Coturnix japonica: one gene and its partner. The main gene of each other region encodes a partner of the protein of the gene in region 2 in a complex. Links are inferred from orthologs where the notes say so. Each region holds a gene or a part of one and is shown on either strand. Other genes may lie near its edges.

Region 1 (3,651 bases), on a different chromosome or scaffold from region 2:
GAAAGAAGAACAGACTAAGGTACGCATATAGGCATACACACATATACAAATGTGGCATAATTTTCACACATAAAAATATTTGCTAATTTTTATTTCCTGCTTCAGGAAATAGATTTCAGGCCACACCCCTGGTCCCTTTATGATAAATCTCCTCAGTGTAACATTCTTCACACACAGTGGTCTTCTCAAAGACTAGGTGGCAGATGACAGAGGAAGACTGATTAATAACACACTGAGGCAGGAATTAGCAAAAAATTGATCCTTTGCATCCCTATACATTTACTTGTGGATGCCCAGGATTCAGTCCGATGGAAGGTAAAATCAGCTCATTTCCTTCAGCACAAACCATGCACATTTCTGCAAGGCGTGAGTTAAGTACAGAGTTTAGTGGTTACTGGTACAGCAAACTAAGTTAAGGTGCAATAAATGCAAAGAGAAATGGATGGAGAGGGACAAAGATGGAGCCCAAGATCTAAATGCCAGGTTTGCGTGTATGCCAGCTGCTCTGCAGCACGGGAGAGAGAGAGAGGCAAACAAATACGTACCAGGTTTAATTTCCAGCAGCTTCAGCCTGGAATCCTCGGGAGGATGCAAACGCCTCTTTTTGCGCCAGCAACGTGCCGGGTATGTGTACAGCTGACCTGGGGCCAGGCCTGAAAATTAAAGGCAAGAAATAAAACATAATCACATTTCAGTCTGTAAACCACAAAGCACTGTCTCTAGCATCTTTTCCCTTGTCCTTTCAGCATCTCTTGTCAGAGGATTCAATCCTGCAAATTGTGAGGCAGAACTATGCTCTCAAGGCATCCAGCACTCCGGTGGTTCCTTGGCACCTCTAGGGATCAGGCCTACAGAGAATCTAGGTCTCACTCATACACTTCACTCAGCTCACTGAAACCAGAGCTGCACATAAATAATTTGTGATTCCTTCAGGGTAAATAGAATTTCAAGCTCTCTTGGGTCATGGGGTGATGTCTCCTCCATGGGCAGAGAAAGCGCCTTGGGAGAGAAGAGATGAAGTTCCGACACACAAATCATAAGGCCCTGGTATGCAGACCACCTCAGAAAATGTCTTCTAAGTGGAAGCAAACAAAAAATCCATGAGGTCTAGCTATTGGAATTCTGTATTTTCACTTAAATTCTGGAGTTCTGTTTAAAAACACCCTCATGCCCACGTCCTGAATGAGGGAGGAAATATGGCAGTAATGTTTATATTACTGCATGCTCCATTGATTCACATTTGGTGCTGCTGGCCTCTGAGCTGCCCTGGCTCTCATGATAGGCATCCCTTAGCCAATGCTCAAGCTATGCTTTGTTCTCGTGTATTCAGGACGCAGCAGGGCCCTGTGAATGCATTGCTACTAAGAACACAAAAGCACACTGCCAAGTTACTGCCCCAGTTACCCTTGATACCCAACAAGATTCAGAAATGCTGGAAGAATGTTGTTCTAGCCCCCGATTCCCCTGACCAATCTGTCTGCCACTTCTGCTTTTAGTCTTCTGCCTTCTGCTGTTAGTCTTGAAGGGGCTACAGAGCACAACTGAAGTTCCAAACCTACTGCCCCCAGAAAACAAGACAGAAAAGAAGACAGCAGTAATATTACCATATCTGAAATTGTACCACCAGTAAACAGATGGACATCATTTAGGCAGCACGAGTAAAGCAAAATAGCTCAAGATCAGCAGGATGGCTGAAATGCTTGCTCTCTGACATTCCCTCTGAAACAGCCTGGAGAGCATATAAGCTCAGGAACAAAACTGATTCATTGAGCCAAATGCAGACAACAAAAAAACAAAAACAATGAAACACAACAAATTTATTCACCTTTTCACCTCAAGGGAATGGGCTAATCATGTTCTACAAGCTCTTGGCTTGAAATAGTTGAGCTGTTGGGAATGCCAACAGTGTTCAGACTTCAACGATTTCCACCTGCTCCCTGGCCTTGGTGCGTAAATGGAACATCTACATCATACTGCCTGGGTATGGCCAAAAGATGGAATGAATGCTCACAGAGGTCCTGGCTGCCTCGGGTCACAGGGCATGCCTGGGGCTTTCCACACCCTTTTGTCGCTGCACAGATTCCTAGGCATTACGCCCAACACAAGAAGGATGCATCTTAGTGAGCAGCACATGTGACTGGTTTGAGAATAAAATGTGAATAACCAGTACTTCTACAGTGCTTGACACACTTCTTCGTGGCACTTTGCAAACATTAACCACTGCAAACAATTGCTATTATGGTGGTGTGGATTGTGCCTGCTCTGATGTGAGTCATTAAAGAGGTGGAGGCAAGATGCCCCACCCTTTCACAGTAGGTTCTGTTCAAAAATTTGCTCACAGCATTGAAAAGTGGGGTTGTTAGACTAAAGAAACAGGACAGAGAATGAGCCTTGCATTGCACAGACCTCCAGAGAGGAGTCCTTTGAATTAAGTGGGCACCACAGCTTTGAACATTTGTCCCAGACAGAGAAAAGCAAGGATCCACTGCAGTTTGGGGGTAACATCTGTTAACATGGGTTCAATTATTGTGAATTCACATATGAATTGGCAGTTCTAGACTCAGCTGAGACAACAAATGCCAAGTGCAAATGATGAAAGGCCAATGAGAAACACAGCAGGTATCTTTGAATAGATGAAAGTAGAGAATTCTCCTCCCTAGGGGAAATGCAGCCCACTCCGGGTGGCAGAAAGGCTCTACAGTTCCTCCAACACCAACACCCAAGGTTGTGGAGCTTTTTGTTTCCATTTGCCTGTAGACAGGATTTCAGGTCAGGAACACTAAATGAGAGTGAATCTGGCATACAAGACAAATACCAAGAAGGCTGGCAGAGAATTTCTGGAGATGTTCAAGTCTCTCTATTCCTTTTTTCAATATCCTTGCTCATTAATGCACAGCCATCCAGTGAACTAAGACAGATATCAAACTTTATCTTGATTCAAACTCATCAGATACCATCTTCAGTCCTCTGCCCTGATACCTATCTGTCTCCATACTGCCTCACGTGAAGCATGGACCGTCAACTGCTTACACAGAGGAGAAGCAATAATAAAAGGCTCTGTTCTGAACAGAATCTAGCCCCGGCACTGCTGATCTTGCAGGGAATATAGAAATAACACTTATGCACATCTTGTCTTTAGTCGTAGCTGAGCTGCATCTCCCTCTGGGGCCTTATAGGGCAACCAGAGAAGGTTCCAACCATTTGCTTATAGAGGAAATAGCAGAACCTGCAGTGAGTTATGTTGTTTATCTCATTAGTGTAGGAGAGTCATAACTCAGAGCTCCTGTGAAAGGCTGGGGGAGGAGGAGAGAAGAGGGAGGGAGTTATGTGCAGTATTGTGTGAAATTAACCCTGAACTGTTTATCATGAAGTGCAGTTTTCTGACTCCCTTAACAAAGAGGACAGTGAGAAACCAGGTTAATACACTGAGATCCCAACTCTCCTCTGTTTTTCAAACTCTCTGTAAAAGAAAATGGTTCCTGGATCTTTGCCATTTGTCTTTATACAGTTTTTCAGGTTACAGATAGTAAATGGCAATGAACATAGCCACCTTAGTATCCATCTTGTGTGCTGGTAACAAATTTTTGAAGATGTTCAGTATGAGCATAAGTACAATGTGTATAGCCTGAAAACAAGGACACTAAAACTAAA
Region 2 (3,651 bases):
CCTGACACTGCAGTCCAGACATCTGACAACACGTGTATATTTCCTCTCTACAGCTGAAACAATTGCTTTACCATCCTTACAATACTGCCTTTTATTTGTAATTTACCATTTTTGGGAAGCACCACTTCTTCTATGTTAGGGACCGGTGTGGGATCCTCCATGTCCTTCGTAAGATCTTCTTGCTCATCTTCCTCCTTCTGCCCCCTCCTTTTCCCGTATATGGTTGCTTGTCTGAAAGAGATCATACACAAACCCTCCGACAGCTGCAACTGTCAGATGCATTCACCTTGATGTTCTCCTTCAGCAGACAGCAGATTAAAGGGCTGGCTTAAAACTCTTCAGGGAGAACAGCGCAGTAGGAGGCGGTGCTTGTGGAGTTAACAAAAACCAGGACCTGTGCATTACTACAATCATTTAGAAGGGCACCAGAGAGTCATTTTTGCAGCCTAACGATTCAGAACCGTCTCTTGGTTTCATATAAAGGATGGTCTTTTGCCATTGAATCTGGACTGCAGGACACTGCTGTCTCATCCTGACTGCAGCAGCACCTCCATGCCCATGAGATTTGGGGCAGCAGCGCTTTGCCTCTACTCCTCCTTTTCCAAGCTGCAATAAGGACATCTGCTGCACGGAACACAAGAGGCAACAGACCATTGCAAGGCCTGCTGCCTCATCTAAGGAACAAGCTGCCTTTATGGTCATTTCCACAACCAGATAAAGTCCCGCTGGGAACAAAGGTAGAATCACCCAGGCCCCAGCTTACAGAAGTTAAGCCAGACTTCACATCAGGGAAAAACCAGCAAGGATCAGTCCTTTATCTGACCATCTCATCTCAGACAGCAGACTTCCAGCACTGTCTGTCACTTCATGTTTTAAGAGCCCCACAGCACTGCTAAAGCAGCTCTGCATTTTTAACCACAGAACGGCCTGGGCTGCACAGGCCCACAATGCTCATCTCATCTCAACCCCCTGCTCTGTGCAGGGTTACCAACCAGCAGCCCAGACTGCCCAGAGCCACATCCAATTAAACACAGTGATCCCAGTGGCTCCCCTTCAGAACATACACGAGTAGCACTGCTTGAGCTGCCTTCAGCTACTTTAGAAGCACCTGAGAAAGTTTTCCTTAAGTTCTGCAGTCAGTGCAGCACCACGACCTGCTGCTGAGGAAGACAACATCAGGACCTGCACAGATTCTCCTCCACCCACAGGCAATGCACTTCCACACAGGAGCAAAGAAATGACCAGCACAAACCTGGCCTAGAGATAATGATTCTACCCTGACCCCAGGTGTGAAAAGCAACCTCAGACAGGGCTGCCCATAGGCACAGCTTCAAGAACATCAGCCCCAGCCTCCCTGAAGGAAACACTCACCCTTTCTTCCCTGATTTTTTTCTTGACTCCACAGGAGTGGGGGGTGGAGAAGGAGAATGCTTCCTCTTCCGTGTGCTGGCTGCTGCTTTCCTGTCCCTCCTCTCAGGACTGCGCACAGGCTGCAAGAGAAACGAAGGCGTCAGCTCATCCCCAGTACCACAGTTATTGAAATGCTGCAGGCTAGTCTTCCTTATTACACCTTACAACAAAGGAGCTGAAAGCAGCATTGCAGTGAAGGCCATCCTCAGCTCCAAACACACGTTTGTCAAGGTGAAATAATATAAGTTTTTTTATAACCATCCCCTGGATATTGCAGGAGCTGCCTACGTAACTGTGCGCCTCGAGCAGGACTCAGCAGCTAATACATGATACACTCAATGTACTCTACCTGTCAGGAAGGTTCTCCTGACCTCGAGGTTAAATGAACACTCTCAGAGCTCTATCAAACCTTCAGCATCAGGAAGAACATGAAATGAGGGTATGTGGAAATGAATGGATGCCGTCCAACGCACCCCTGCTTTCATTTAAAGAAAGTACAAAGCGAGTCACTTCTATTGTCACCTTTGGGAAGGGACATAGGAATAATAAAAGGGAACAACAGTTTTGGATAAATGGCACATCAGGGGGAATCCAAACTAAGCTGTACTACCACAGGTGCCTGAATGCATCCAGCTTGATTGAATTGCAGTGGCTTTTGCAGAGAGAGGGAATATTAACACACCACCAGGTCACACAGGGAGCTGAGAGCCACCTACCTCTTCATTCTTCATGGAGATTCTCTGCCGAAAACTCACAGATTTCCTGTTCTCATCCACCTCATAATCCTCTTCATTCATCCATTCGTTGAATATATCTGTGTCCAAAATCCACTTGGCATGAACCTAAAGAACAGAAATGAGGGACGCCAGGCTGAGTGGTGCGGTTGATACAGCAGAATGAAGGGATGCCATGCAGAGGGACCTTAACAAACTCCAAAGGTGGGCCCATGTGAACCTAACGAGGATCGACACAGCAAAGTGCAAGGTGTTATGCATGGGTCTGAGGAGTCACAGACACAGACTGCGAGAAGAGCTCCTTGAGAGCAGCCCAGCTGAGAAGGACCTGGGGGTCCTGAGGGTGAAAAACTGACCACGAGCCAGCAGTGTGTGCTTGTAGCTTGGAAAGTAAATGGGATCCTGGGCTCCATCAGCAGAGGGGTGGCCAGCAGGGACAGGGAAAGGATCGTCCCTCTCTGCTCTGCTCTCGGGAGGCCCCATCTGCAGTGCTGCGTCCAGAGCTGGGGCCCCCAATACAGGAAAGACAGGGAGCTGTTGGAGAGGGTCCAGAGGAGGCCACAAAGATGCTCAGAGGCTGCAGCACCTCCACGACAAAGACAGGCTGAGGGAGCTGGGCTTGTTCAGCATGGAGAAGAGAAGGGAAGGCTGCGGGGTGAGCTCAGTGCAGCCTGCCAGTATTTAAAGGGAGGTTATGAGAAGGAGGGAAACCAACTTTTTGCAAGCATAAATAGTGACAAGACAATGGGGAATGGTTTTAAACCAGAGAAGATTTAGATTAGTCGTCAGGGAGAAGTTTTTCCACAGACAGAGTGGGGAGGTGCTGGAACAGCTGCCCAGAGGGGCTGTGGATGCCCCATCCATCCATGGAGGTGTTGAAGGCCAGGCTGGATGGGGCCCTGGACAGTCTAATCCAATACTTGATGCAGTGCTTGCAGCCCTGCCTGCAGCAGGGGGTTGGACCTTGGTGATTCTTGATGTCCCTTCCAACCCAAGGCAGCCTTTCATTCTATGATGGTTCTAGGAACATACTGACATGGTGCTTTTTGCAAGTAGTCTCTTGTCAACAGACCTTGCTATTAGGATCTGAAGTTACACATCTCACAGGACTTTTATACATATGAAGTGACAGTTCCATGAGGCCATGCTATACAGGCTGGACGTGCTGTAAGCCTGCTGAATGCCATGTCTGCTCCTCTGTCATTTTAAGTCATCTCAAGTGTGAGGTCAGCTCTCACAGCTGGGGCAATGGCTCTGCATTAAAAGCACACTTCAGACACCGAAATTCCTCCCAGAATCCAGCAAGTATGACACAGATTGATTTATACACAAAAAGCTTAAGTCCCATTTACTTACAAGCAGCAGTTTGGAATAGGGAGTGTCTGAACAGGCATCACATGGAGTTATTTTCTGACCTGAGCTGCCCTTTCCTAACTCTGCTATTCACATTAACAGCACAGATACAGAACAACACTGCATGTGATGCATAAAAGAGTAAGTCCAATAA

The links. The genes of interacting proteins can lie anywhere in the genome.
Region 1: SMARCC1 (region 2) and DPF3 share a complex: the UniProt entries of both Homo sapiens proteins name them as parts of the BAF complex. The link is inferred for Coturnix japonica from reciprocal best matches to the Homo sapiens genes SMARCC1 and DPF3.

The regions. Positions count from the first base shown.
Region 1 is NC_029520.1:23,822,803-23,826,453, reverse strand, and holds part of DPF3 (zinc finger protein DPF3), read right to left. Parts: intron 654-3,651; coding exon 546-653; intron 1-545. UniProt on the Homo sapiens protein: Belongs to the neuron-specific chromatin remodeling complex (nBAF complex).
Region 2 is NC_029517.1:713,270-716,920, reverse strand, and holds part of SMARCC1 (SWI/SNF complex subunit SMARCC1), read right to left. Parts: intron 2,253-3,651; coding exon 2,127-2,252; intron 1,491-2,126; coding exon 1,372-1,490; intron 232-1,371; coding exon 107-231; intron 1-106. UniProt on the Homo sapiens protein: Involved in transcriptional activation and repression of select genes by chromatin remodeling (alteration of DNA-nucleosome topology).